Mytilus edulis: one gene and its partner. The protein of the gene in region 1 binds, or shares a complex with, the protein of each later gene. Links are inferred from orthologs where the notes say so. Each region holds a gene or a part of one and is shown on either strand. Other genes may lie near its edges.

Region 1 (7,979 bases):
CTGTACTATTATGCATATTTTAGGGGCCAGCTGAAGGACACCTACGGGTGGGGGAATTCTCGCTACATTGAAGACCCATTGGTTGCCTTCGGCTGTTGTTTGCTCTATGGTCGGGTGGTTGTCGCTTTGACATATTCACCATTTCCTTTCTCAATTTTATCAGTACAGGTAAAGTTAAATTCGGATCAACAGATTGATTTACGACCTTCCGCTTGTCCATGTTGTATTGCAAAAATATCACAGCAGGTGTTACTCACACTAGACAGGTGTCAAATCAGTATGACATTATGTCGGATTACGGCATCTGCAGTAATTAAGACTCTGTTTTTACTGTTTTTACAGGAACTGATTTATCTTAACATGACAATAAAGAAGAATTTTGTAAGGTGAACATATTTGTAGTAGTATTGCAAAGTTACCACGTGCATTTTCCTGTTCATTGGTCACAATTAAATAGATTATTCTTTATTAAACTAAATTCGATATTTAAATTGCAAGTAACTTTAATATCAAAACCACCGCTTTTTATTTCTCGACTGAAAAGGGTAATAAGACGGTTATTTTTATCTGACTGTAAACAGTGTATATAATCACAACGATCTATTAATAACCGTTGCTCACAGATAACGGATTATACAACGATCTATTAATAACCGTCGCTCACGCATCACTGGTTCTATCACTGACTCAATACACACCAGTTTAATCGGACAAACGGATAATTCCCTGAGACACACGGATAATTCCCTGAGACACGCGGATAATTCCCTGAGACACGGAAAATCTCCGGAGAACCGCAAAATATACTGTAAAACGAAAAATTTACGATGAACCTCTATTTATTATCCGTTCCGCGGAGATTTGCCAAAAATCGCGGTCATTTGCCAAATAGGTCTACCAGTGTATACTACCCTCCTTTCGAAGTAGCATAGTCCAACAGACAGATCGATTGGTTTCTGTCGGACTAGTCTATTTCTTCTAAAGTAGGGTAGTTTGTTTACCTAACCTAACAATGACTTCACGGCTCAGCTAACAAGCAAGCTAACTAAAAAAATTACCTTTGGCTACACACTCCATGGAATCCGCTGTAAGTTATTTTATTAGTTTGTTGGAAGTATCTTGTAGCACATTAGCCCTACTACCATTATTTTGAGCTTAGACCTCACCTGTTCATATAAATCTATAAGTTTCTGATCAGGGAGTTTTAGTGTCTGTATGGCTTGGAGCACACTGTCCCAGTGACCACTGTTGATGTCGGAGACAAACCCATCTACAGAATCAACAGTATTCAATGATGTCCCACTCTCTTCTTGTAGAACTGTAAGTGTCCGTAGTAAATTGTTTTCCTTGAGATACTGCTCAATCAGACGAACAACACTGAAAAAATAATTTAAAATAACATAAGCATTGTGATTTGATTTTCTTTGCCACTTTTAAGCACTGCTTTTGGGCTATTTCGTGGCTGCCATTTTATATTTGTGGATGGAGCTGGAGTGCCTGGAGAAAACCATGGTCGGATCTTTGATAGGAAAACTGACAATTAAGATTGGAATTGAGTGCAACAGTAGACGCGGGGTTCCAACTAATAACCTCAGTGTTGACTGGCTAGTGATTACAGTAGTAGCTACTTATAGTTAGACAACTTGACCTCCAAGGTCCATTATGAGCATTGTGACTATTAAGGAAATTTACAGAAAAATGCATGAAGCAAAAGTCTGCCAGAAAGTTTTCCATACAATAAATTTTGGTCTGTGATAAACATACAAAATTTAAGGTCCAAACCTGGAGACCAGTAGGCATCTGCAGTAGGGTAACTAAGAACCGCGATATTCCACCTTCCAACACCAGAGTCTTTCAAATTCGAATTCCTGTACCAGGAAGAAGAACAACCAAACAAAAAATGCAAAAAGTGCCACATTATTATTATTATTAACCTAATAAAAATTGCCAAAATCTACTGTCTGCGCCCCAAGTCCTGAATCTTTCAAGGCTCAGCTTCGTCATAAGATTTAAATGACATGTTTTTAAATTGCACCCATTCTTTTTGTTTATTAAATTTCAAAAATATTGCATGCACTCACTCTAAAATGTGGCAGAATAGTCAACCAGTTGACAGTGGCCGCTTACAGGAAGAAGAAGACATGTACAAAAGTAACAATGAGCTGTCAAATGTACATGTAGGTTAAAGCACACTATAGTATGTCCTTGTTTGTATACTATGATGACTCTAAATAGAGCTTATTTTAGAAGAAAAATCAATAAAAAAAAAAAAAAATTAAAAATCTGGAAAATTTCATGAAATTTTCAATGTACTTATGAACTCAAAATCGTTCAAATTTTTTTTTTGTCGCTTTTTTTTAATTTGCGCATAACGCAAAAATCTACTGCCTCCTTCCGGTCTCGTTGTAGCACTTGAGACTTTGAGTAGTCTAGTAAAATATAGGAACTCAAGGAACACAATACCAATATTTCATTTTTAATAATTAATAATTATTTGTCTTTGATATGAATGTAAAAACGTTACCTGATACATTGTGTTTCTTTGTTTACATCGAACATGACGTCATAACTTAAATAAAGTCACAAGTAAAATCCCTAACAACAGAACCAAAATCGAAAACGTTACTGTTTTTCCGTTTCTTTTTTTTAACAAATATGTGTTACAAAAAAAAAAAATCGTACAGTTTCGTCCTTATTCACAGGTAATGCCTGCCTCATATTATTCATCATGATTGGAGTGTACCATTGCAGGTGCTCATTTATATGAGCTGGATTGTAGAACTTTTATAGGGAAATATCTAAAAACTGAAGCTGTAGTTAATGTTTATCTTAATGACATGACTACAAGATGGAAACAAAAGAGTGTACGATGTTAAAATTCAATGTACACTGGTCCCTATGCGTTATATAAATAGTCAAATGCAACATTGCATTGATGAAATCACAAACAAATAGAATCACTTACTCTCTTTGCTCGATTTCGACAGCCATGCTTAATGTGATCAGTGTTCGTGGAAATATTAAAGGACTATTCTTTCGTCCGTTGTTTAAAACGCACGTACGACATGTAAACAATGTAAATCATGTGACATTAAATTTGTTCAAAATGGTAGACAGCTCAACTTGAAAGACAATCATTGAAATTAAGTTGATTGACACAGTAATTCAATTCAAATATTGTTTACGCAACAATTAACACCTTAAGTACGTATTTGATAATTAGAAGCTTTAGAAATAGCGCTAGATATATATAGAGGCAGAGACATATATACATATATGTATTATATGTCTCTGATAGAGGTTTGAATTACAGCAATAATAAATGCTGTACTTGTAATTTGTACATGTTCATGATGTTGTATAGTTAGACAATATATGTATAGTGTCTTGAAATATGAAATTTATTTGTGTATGAGGCTTAGAAACGGGGGAAATGCGAGGTTCTACCGAATACAAATAATTTTCATATTTCAAGACACTATACGTATATTGTTTTTAAACTGAAATCGATAAAAAATTTAAAAAATAATAAAAATATGAAACAAATATTGTTAAAAAAAATGTTTAAAATTTCCCTCTTGGGGTACCATTTTGGGGTATTTCCCTTTGAGCGTATTCCAGGCGGTACAAAATTGACATTTTAAGGAAAAAGAAAGGGAAAATTAACTCTAATTAATAATATTTGATAAATCATGGTATAGAAATTACCAATTTGAAGACATAACAAGTTTAAATTCATAAAAGTTTGACCATTGTTACTATACGTTGTCATGGTTGTGACGTGACGTCGTAAGTAGGCGGGGCTTATAGGTGAGTTGAGGTCATTGACGTATAAAGCTAAAGTTTATACGTATAGCTTTATCTGTATAGTAAAATAGCTGATTGCAGTATAATATAGCTATTTTGCCGGCTCTGATAAAAATATCTGAAATAACCAAAACAATTAGTAATGACTTCTTTGCCAATGCCTGTGATATATTTAACAAGTTATTTTGATGATACATGTATCATTAATTTTATATTTAGATCTAATTTTGTTATATTGCGGACATTAAATCAAGAAATGTATCTCATTTTCAATTTTTCCTGCGCAAAATTTACAAAATCTCTCATTAGGTCTGAGACCACAATTGTCGTCCAGAATATTAAAGGAAAGTAGTGATTTGGTCCAGGTGAAAAAGGTTGAAAAATAGCACTTCGGAAGCTGTCAAAAGATTTTCAAGACGCCCTAAAGATAAAATTGTCCATATTTTGAGTTAGAGACGATGAAGTTTGTAAGAAAAGTTAATTGCAAGAGTCTTTTTGTGCTCAGATTTGTTGTATCATGTCACATGAGTATAGAAATGATAAAAAAGACACAAATTTTTATTTCTTACAGCCTCCATATGCATTTTTTAATGTAGATATGAGGTACAGCCTAAATTGACCCTAAATTTTTTCCAGTCTTACTTGGCCTAAGACCCTTTTAAACTAATATGATATGTTATTTGTAACTCTTCTTTCCATTTAAAGTACTTTCAATACATATGTAAGGATTATTTATAACCAAAAAGCTTCAAAAATTTAAAATGGCTGGAAAATATTACATCTTCATGTAAGGCCCCTTCATTGAAAAACCTCAATTTTTAGGCTCAGGCTCATATAAATTTGACTTTTGAATAATTATGCCAAGTCTGATAAATCAAATGAGTACTCTATTGCTTTAAGTACATGATAGGTTATATATTAAGGCATTTAAAAAGTATTTTTTTGCAATATTTTAATTTTTGAAGCCCCAAATGTTGATAGTTGAAATTATTCAATTTTAACGTCAAAATTTTACACGCAAAGATAAATATAGAACTTAACTTATTGTCTATAATATACATCCTATTGTCATGAAACTTTGTAAGCAGTGTTATAATTTATTAAGCTTTGCATGCTTTGGTCATACCAAGTTTTTTAAAGATTAGTCAACTCTTTCTATCCTATTAGGTCCAAGACCACAATTGTCGTCCCTTGATTTTCGTTGTTCACGAATATGAATAGTCCCTAGTGTTGACAGTGGATTACCTGCCATTAATTTTTATACCCCTTCCAAATTTATTTCTCCATGTTTAATGCCTCAAATTGCAAGTAGGGGGGTGAAATTACACTGTAAAAAAATTTGGGCCCAGAATTTTAAAGGAAAGCTGTCAAAAGATTTCAAGACGCCCTAAAGATAAAATTGTCCATATTTTGAGTTAGAGCCGATGAAGTTTTCTATAATTTTGATATAATTTGTCCCAAAAGTAGTACAACACAGTGTAAAATGGGATTTTTTTTATTTTCATTTATGTTCTAAAAGAAATGCACTACGAAATAATTGTGCTCTCATACCCACTGCCGTAGGACTTGGGGTTAAGCGTGAAGACTGATATTATATAATAGAACTATCAATGCATAAAAAATTGTTTTGATCTATTGCTATGCATATGTATGCACAATCATTTACTTTCACGTATATCCTGCATTTTATGTTTCAAAATATCTGCCCTCCCACCAACCCCCCCCCCCCCTAACCCCTCCCCCCCAAAAAAAAGAAAAGAAAAAATCAACAGCAGTATTATTATGATTATAGCTATGCAGCTATGATGTTCAGATCATTTATAAACAAATTACACATGTTATAATGAAAAATTGAAAAATTTTCAAATAATGGTCACGGTTTCATTTTCAATTAAAATTTAGAAAAAAAATCATACAGTTTGACTTTTAATACAAGTATTCTTATGAATTGATTATAATTTTCAAAAATCCTTACACTATTAGGTCACAGCTAGATGCAAACAAAAAAAATTCAGATTATTACAATGTACATGTACCATGTTTTTAATATCCTGTAATTTGCGTTTTTGGTCATGTTGGTAAAATCATAAAAAATGCTGAAGAGTTTAAATAGCCATCTCAAAATCCTGCATTTAAAACTGAAAACTGGAAAATCGGAATCATGTTTAATTCATAATATGACGGGGTACGAAGGGGTCCTGATCCTGAAATCTCGGGCTTAAAAACATGAAATCCTGAGGTCCTGAATTTAAAGAAATTTAAATCCCGACATCCTGACATCCCAAAATTTGAAAAAAAGAATTCCCAGATCCCGAAAGGATCAATCCCAAAATCCCGAGCTTAAAAACACCTATACTAAAAAGGTCCTATCCTCCCCCCTAATAGCAATGTCCATGATGTCTGTTTTCAGGGGTTAAAAATTCCACTAGCCCGACGCCCGGGACTAGATCATTTACGCCTCAGGCAATTAAAATGTGTAATTCGATATGCCCGACGGACTAGTAACAAAAAATATTGACGTTTCCAAAATAGAAAGTGAAAAATCCTTTCATCACTATTTTATGTTAGCCATTTCGATTCAATTAAGTCAGCCAGGATTCCAAGAATTTGAGCTGGTTTGTACAGGTCCTGTTGTACATATTTTAAAACTGGAAGAAATAACTCTGGCATGTCTGGGTGGTCTGGTATCATGTGTTGATTGCAATTCTCGTACTTTAAATATCGATTTCTCATATCATGGCTCGGGGTATTGTACATTGCTTAGGCAGCAACCATTTGATTTTCTGGGGGGGGGGGGGGCTATGGTTTTTTTTTCTGTGCAAACTTTTTTTTTCGCCTTCGGCGTAGAACAATCTATTTTTTTCTTTCAATTTCAGCATTACATATAGTGGCAGCTGAGGGTGAAACAAACAATTTTTTGTACTCAGGGTCCAAAACAAATTATTTTTTTCACCAAAACCTGGAAACAAACTTTTTTTTCCAAAAAAAAAACATAGCCCCCCCCCCCCAGAAAATCAAATGGTTGCTGCCTTATCGTGCCGAGATTTTCAATTAACGGTATTTGGGGGTATGATGTATTGATTGGTATTGACCTGTCTTGTTGCACAGCTCTTGAGCACGAAACCATGCAACAAAATATTTCTTAATATTTTAGTACGTGAACCCCAGGAACTTCGTCAGTTTCAACACGAAAAACGGTAGATGAAGGGAGTAACGAGGCTGAAAATTCATCCCCCAAAAATGCTAAATACGATAGGGAAAAGCCGCGGAAAAAAATAATAGTGTCAAGGACAGCAGGGCTGTCAAGTCTTTAGCGCGAGACTCACACATGTTCATGCTTATTTTGTGGCATTTTCCTTTGATCTATTGTTTTTTCTCTTTGATCTTAACTATTTGGCCACAAAATCACGCATTCACTTCCTGAAAGGTTGGAAGAACTGGGACACAATGATTCCCATGGCAAGGTTGGCTGTTGCTGATGAAAAAACCGACAATGCTCTGTGAATATTGCCGTTAGTTGCCCCAAGCACTCCAATAAAAAGTCTGCTTTGAATGTGGGAACAACTAAGTTAGGTTAAGCACCAAAAGAATAAATAACAGATCAACAAAAATTATTAAATACAGTGTATAATGTCTCCTTCAAAACAACGGACACCCACTTTGTATTATGCCACAAACTCTTGATTTTAAAGGCATACTAGGGCTAGCAGGTCAGTTTTGATGGACTAGCAGTTCTTCCAACAGGGCTAGTAAAATACTGCTGCCAATAAGTCCTGGGCTAGTTAGCTGTAACAAAATTTTTTAACCCCTGGTTTTATATTCTACAATCATTTACCCTAATTTATTTCAGATGAAAATTGAAAATGTTTCTGATCCTTGTGATGAATGAACATATGGATTGAATAAAATGAAGATGTCAGAAAAAAGAACCAGTTTAGCATACCAGGTATGTTTTTAGATGGTTAGCAGTCTAGATATAAAAAATAGAGGAGTATGATTGCCAATGTGACAACTCTCCAACAGAGACCAAATGACACAGAAGATGACAACACAAGCTTGTTTGTAATTCCCTTATACATTTGTATGTTCATCAATTTTTCTGGATATTTCTTTATATTGCTATTATTGACTTGAAATATGTCATTGTTGTGTACACAAGGTTTTAAGAACAA
Region 2 (7,032 bases), on another chromosome or scaffold:
TTACCCTCCTTGTCCTGACTGAGGTGTTTGCTTTGTGATAACCTGAGATTTTCCTAATTTAGAATCGAGATCAACCTAAAACAAGAACAACAGATACAGTAATTAGAACAGCTATAAAAATTTAACATACGATCTTATACATGTATATGAAGACAAAGCGACACTTACTTGTCAGTTTGTAAATAGATGTGTGCTAAGTCACATCTTAGTAATTGTAAATGTTACAACCTATTCTACACAAATGTTTAAGTGCCAGTCTTTGTAATAATCAGGCAATTTAGACAATTTTCAAAACAAGACAGAAAAAAACCTTACCAACCTACCCATCCTATTATGAAGTTTCCCTTATCCTGAGTTCATGGAGTTATAAATGGTAGATTGTTTTGTTTCTGTGTGTCTATTATTTTGAGAAATCTCTAGATAACTTTTGGTAAAGAATGAAAGCAAATTATGGAGTTATCTCCCCTTAGTTGTTAATTTCCAGTGCATTTTAACCAAATTATATCTTGAATTACAGGAAACAAATGTAATATGCATGCACTGTTACCATGGTTATATATGTACGTTTTGATCTTAAATTAATGTCAAGTTGAGCCGGGTTTTTGTTTGTCACGTTTGACCACTGCCTCAGATTCTTAGGCAGAGTGGCTTGGCACTTAATAAAGATGCTGCTTAAATATTTATATAAATTAATCAGTTTTATTTAGCAGTCTATTTTGACTGACAAAAAAAAGACTGGTGTTTATATATTTGGTTTTATAAACCATTATCCCAGGGAATTTTACTCAAAGTCCCTCTTCAGTATCTGCTCTTTCTTCCACAACTGCATAGTAATGTCTTGTCATGGCTTAAAACTGTATATTCCCTTTTGACAGATTTACACAAAGATATTTAATCATAAGATTTTTTTTCTCTATTTCTGAATATATTAATTTCGATCAAATGTAACCTTGTTTAACATACTTTATATTCTCTAGGTTTTAATAGTTCTCTTTTGATAGGTGGCTCTTTTAACTCTTTTTCAAGAAGTTTCCTTTCTTCTTCTTCCAATCGAACTTTAGCAATTTTTTCATACTCATCCTTGTCCCACTTTCGTCTGTGATCACCGGGTGTTGGTTTCTGAAGAAAAAAATAAACATTTAAGTAATGATCTTTCATGTGGATATAAATTTACTTATTAATATAAAAGATGTAGATAATATGATAAAAATGTATATCATATCATATTCAAGGCTCAGATATATCATCACTTGAAGGTAGGGTTTGTATAATAAATTCTCTATAAATTAATGAATGTACATGAAGTTAAATTAAAGAACTCTGGAAAATTAATACATAGTCATTAGATCACAGGTAATTGTTTCCCTAAAAAACATGAAAACAGACTGTTTCTTCTCTAGAACAACAGGGAAATATCCCTCGCATTAAAGCAAATATATCTATAAACCTTTGAAAAACACATATATGGGAAAAATTAAACAAAGCTAACTCAATGTTTGCGGCAATAAGAAGAATATAAATTTAAATGCAAAGATCTTCATAAAACATAAGGGAAAACACACTTAGACTATGCTAGTTCAGTATAGGCTCCCTTCAAAAAGAAATTCTTTGGCAAAATTAAAAATGTACAAAAAAGGCCGACAGGCCAGATACCTGGATCCAACAAATTCAGTTATCCGGAAAGATTGAAGAAACTTAAGCTGCCAATATAGAATGTTCTGAGGGGACATAATTGAGACCTACAAGATACTTAACAGAAAATACAATCCAGAAACTAGTACATTTCTCAAACTAATTAAAAACACCCAAAATAGGCATAGCACAAGAGTTCATAGTGCAGGGATACAGGCGATCCCCTCTATCTGATAAATGATGTCATAATGGGGCGCATAATTGACGAGTTTTTTCCAGTGAAGGATAAACTCGAAAGTGGTCTATTTCCACAGGCACTTGTTTCTTTCAATTGGAAGACCCTCTATCCACGTATATTTACTTGGATAGAGGGTCTTCCAATGGATAGAAACAAGTGCCTGTGTCTATCAGTCAGAGCTCAGACATAAACAAGTCTATTTTTGTTTTTGACTTAAAGAAGTCAAAACATGTATTTATCATAAAAATGTGTTTTCAATTTTAGACTTATCTAAGCCATAAAATGACAGACTTGTTTAGGTCTATTTATGTTGATGAAAAAACTAATTTCACTTGGTGGCCAAACTACACAACCTATGACAGCAAAAACCTGTCTGAGTGTTCACAAGGACTTGAGCTATCTATATGTAATTGTCTTATTGAACATCCTTACTAAACACAGATGTTTTTCCTCATTAAGTGTAGTTCCAGGTGGTTGCATTGTAAGGTTAATTAACATTATCTCCGATTTTTTAGACTCTCATTCATATTTTTCCTTAGAAGACAAAGCATTGTCTTTGAATGTTGTCATTATTTGATTTAGATGCATGACCTCCTTATAAATTTGCGTGGGTCTTTAAGCTAACCAATTTTGATCACTTATCGACTTGTAGGAGTCGATATTTGCAACTTTTTGATTCTGTACAGTTATTTCTTGCTTAACAATATTTGACTTATTAAAGTCATATTTTGTCTTGCATTAAAGGGAGACTAATCCTAAAACTTACAAATCTAGACCTCTATGAGTCAAAAGCAGATTCAGACTTATTCATGTCTGAGCTCTGACTGTCTATTTCTGAAAGTTTTCCATCATCGAAATTCCAATTTTTAATAAACTGCTAGGTTTAATTGGTCATTCAGGTGGGATACGTGTCATGGGACATTGTGAAGTATAGTTCTATGCTTTGGAACATCACATTATCTAAGCAAAAGCACCAGTAGTAGGACCATGAATATAAAGAGAAAAGGGGGGGTTTATTGTGTCTTTACGATTTACAAAGAAGACACTTAAAAGGGAAAGAGCTGGATTCATTCTTAATTTGTCGTATTCTTGTAACCTCTGCCATTGTTCTTTAAAGTATCCTCAATAATATTAATTTATAAATTTGTAAACAATCAAATAGCCTTCGCTCTCGGGTTTCTTCTTATTGTCTATGGAAAACTCCGAAAACTCAAATCCATGCACTTCCATCTAAGTTTCTCATGCGTTTTAAAATGACAGTTAGCTCCTATTTATTTCAAGTTGCTCAATGACCCGAAAGCTTAAAAAAATGCAAAACAAATCGACGTGGCTGGAGTGACGAAATTTATTATAGTTCGATTTTCCATTTGCATACGTTTGACAAGCAGAGTTTTGGTAAGTTTTGCATGAAATGGACTATTTTTGTCTGAGAGGGAGAAGTGTTTGATTGTTGATAAACAATCCTTACACTTGGAAAAATGCCAAATTTTGAGGGGTTGATCTGTTGATTACAGATTTGCCATGCCATCATTTGCATGATTTTGATAATTTAGCAATTTAATCTACTTTTTCTTTTTTTAATTTCCTTTCTCTCATTAGATCATATTTTAATTATTAATGGTTGTACTTGAAATAGACAGTCCTGACTTTTGTATTGACTATTGTCACAAACAAAAATATATTATCCTCACCTTATGGGTTTTCCTTCTATTTACCCTCTTACTGCTGGTAGTATTTCATTTCATTTACAAGAAAATACGGCAGCTCAACATCTGTGACGTCACATGTACATGCTCAACAATGACTTCATTTGACATGTTTGATATATAACGTCATATAATAATTATAATTACACCTTATGTAAGAATCCGGGGTTTTGATTGGTTAATAGCCAGTGTATTTTTCACCAATTTACTGTTATCAAATGAATATTGTTCATTTTTTACGCCGCCGGCATATTTGCTAAAAGGATATGCCTTTTTTACCCTCTCTGCCGTGGTATTTGCCAAAAATACTCTATCCGACTGGACGCTTGTAACGTCACGATCATCAATGCGTTTTAGTACATTAACATTCGGTGTAATTAAACAGATATATCATGTTATTGAGGGGTATTTGCGAAAAATACCAGTCTTGAGAATGAATTTCCCTCGCCTTACGGCTCGTGAAATTTAACATTCTCTCGACTGGTATTTTTCGCAAATACCCCTCCTTAACATGATATATCTGTTCAATATACAGTCTACATAATAATTTTTACGTTGAACTGTCAAACTTTACCAATACTCAACACTACTGGTGGGCGCAAGAAAAAGATAACCGTTATATTTTGGAGCCATTGAAGAAAAAATAATGCACTGTTTAATCATCAGCCTTTTTCTTGAAAGAGATACAAAATGTACATCAATGTTCATGATGATGAGAAGTTTGCATAAATTTGAAAATGGTTATATGTGTCCCTCCAGCAGCGAGAGGGTTAAGAATGGACCGGGATTATGACGTCACAATTTCCATTGAAAAAGCGTTCATAGTACAAATTGCAAATGACTCATGAAAACAAATAATCTGACCATTTGTTTAACTGTTCCTAGCCCTGTACCACCAAGCTTTTTTGTCGATCTGGCCCCAAGTCTATTTGTGCCAAGTCGATCAATTTCAAGTTGTTCCATTCCTATTTGATCTGTCCAAAGTAGTTCCTTCCCAAGTTGATTCAAAAGAATATTTATAATGTATAAAAATAATTCATAAATCATGTAAATGTTCATTAGTTTTATAATAATATTAAAGATGAACGGTAAAAAAGTTGGCCTTTGACGAAGATTTGTACATGAATATTTAATTGTCATAGAATGAACTAATAAAAAATGCAATCCCTTACTACTTTAACACAGTCAAAAATACTAAATAATAATCACAAGAGGATCAGAAAAGTAAGTTAATATTTCTCATTTCCTTTAATTGACTTCTAACCTCTTCTAAGCTTCTAACTGTTCATTTATACTTTTTCATGCTTTTGTAGATAAAATGTCAGATTCAGAAGATGATGCTGCATTTGCCAGTGCTGATGAAGGAGAAGAAACAAAGCAAAGTCCACCAAAGGGAGATAAATCTACTAAGCCTGATACAGATAAAGCAACAAAGTCTGTAGGAAAGGGAGACAACCCGAAACAAGCTTCAAAAACTAATCCTAAAAGTGATAAAGAGGCTATTGACAAAACAAAAAATCCTGAAGTACCACAACAGAAAGGAGCAACTGGAAAAGGAAAGAAAAAGGGAAAACAGGCCAAAAAAAATAATAAGAGTACTGAAAAACATGAAGCGAAAGAAACAGAAAGTAAAAAGCCTGAGAGTGAAGTAATAGTAAAAGAGGAAGAGAAGACAGAAAGTAAAACATCTGACATAGAAAACCAGGAAGAGAAAAAAACAGATACCACACAAGTTGAAGAAAAGAAGGCACCAGAAAATGATAAAGAGCTGTCAACAGACAGTACAAATGTTTCTGAAAAAACAGAAAGCATTGTTAAGTCACCTTCTGGGCAGAACATACAGAGGGAAGGATCTGGAGAAGGATCAGAAAAGCCAGACATTAAATCTGTTCTGGATCAACTAGCAGATGATGACGATGATGAAGAAGAAGAAGAGGAAGAAGAAGATCAAAAGGTTATTGTTACTTAAACAGTATAAAAAAATGTCTCTTCTATCATCATAATCATCAAGCAATTATGTGCTCCTTACATCATGTGCATCGATGTTGTACATTGTACATGCATATTTAACATGTTTAAGAATCCTTGCACTAGCTCTTTGAAAAGTCAGTAAATACATGTACATCTGGTAGGTTAGCTGTTGCAAGGCAAAACAGCAGCCCCTTTTAAATCTTTTTTTGTTAACAATGCAGTCAGGTCCTTCATGATCATCTAGTGTTAACCCGCAGTTAATTATTGAATGCTGTTGACCATGGCCCTAAGGTAAGCAGAATTTTGCAGAAACTATGTATTTGGTTGAAATACTATTTGTACTCCTGAATATGCTTTAAATATTTGCCACTGGCTATTAATCATTTATTAATCAATCTTAACTTCTTAAGGACAAATCACCTCTTGTAACTGCATTCAACAGGCCTTAAGGAAACAGGTCAATGGATTTCTAATGAATTATTATAGACAAAATATGTTTGCTCCTTGTTTGGCCAAGAGGGTGGAAAGTACAAAAATGTATGCTTTAATTTATTTCAAAATACAATTAAAAAAAAATGTATATGATTCTTTCAATTTACAACACTGTTCATTCTTGTATGGACCTGTACCAAACTGAAACATTACGATATCATTATCATTACTTTTTAATACATACATGTACATTTACATAATTATATATATGTAAGTAAAGGCAGACATTCACTGTACTTTATTTTATTACAGTCTAGTAGTTGGAATATTGGAGGATGGGGTTCTAGTATCATGAATGTAGCACAGACATCAGTTTCAACATTTACAAATCAAGTTGGTTAGTATCATAGATAAATCGGTCTAATTGGTACAGACATGATAAAATGTATTTCAAAGAATCAGAGGATCACCTGTCAAACATCACTCTAATGCAACATTGTGTTTAACATTCATTTTGATTGGATAAGGTTGCTAATTTTCATGTCATTAAATCACAATATTAATTGATGCTATGAAAACGTACGCAAGCGCAGACGACATATTACAGATTTTAAATGTATGTTTTAACATTGTTTTCTATCAGTTTCATTAGAATGGAGATTACAATATTGTATTTTAAGCTTCGACGACATCAATTGGTGATTTTATGGTCATAAATACCTGTTTACTGGCTCCACTAACATATCTTTGCCTTGAGACATTAATAAAACATATTCATTTGTTATTTTTCAATCTTGAAAATTAAAAGTGTATTGCAAGCATTTGTAAATCTATGGGGAGATAACTCATTTAGTTACATATTTACTCCGGAAAAGTTTCACAATGTCAATATTGAGATCTATTGGACAAAAATACTTGTAGAAAGTTGTTTTCATATGTGTATTTTCACCTGTACATTATTAATTTGTTTAGTTTAATTTTGCAAGGCACCTAAAAAAACACTCGAGATTCAAATTCAAATTCAAATTCAAATATTTTATTTGAGATTCTTAC

What was found.
Region 2: WD40 repeat-containing protein SMU1 (region 1) and zinc finger matrin-type protein 2-like share a complex: the UniProt entries of both Homo sapiens proteins name them as parts of the spliceosome B complex. The link is inferred for Mytilus edulis from reciprocal best matches to the Homo sapiens genes SMU1 and ZMAT2.

The regions. Positions count from the first base shown.
Region 1 is NC_092354.1:21,760,512-21,768,490, forward strand, and holds the start of WD40 repeat-containing protein SMU1, read right to left. Parts: upstream 3,091-7,979; 5' UTR 2,992-3,090; coding exon 2,966-2,991; intron 1,378-2,965; coding exon 1,167-1,377; intron 1-1,166. Other genes in the region: leucine-rich melanocyte differentiation-associated protein-like, read left to right, coding at 7,715-7,753. UniProt on the Homo sapiens protein: Involved in pre-mRNA splicing as a component of the spliceosome. Regulates alternative splicing of the HSPG2 pre-mRNA. Required for normal accumulation of IK.
Region 2 is NC_092351.1:34,546,396-34,553,427, reverse strand, and holds the start of zinc finger matrin-type protein 2-like, read right to left. Parts: upstream 3,106-7,032; 5' UTR 2,976-3,105; coding exon 2,967-2,975; intron 1,120-2,966; coding exon 964-1,119; intron 76-963; coding exon 5-75; intron 1-4. Other genes in the region: protein FAM114A2-like, read left to right, coding at 4,895-5,530, 6,292-6,376. UniProt on the Homo sapiens protein: Involved in pre-mRNA splicing as a component of the spliceosome.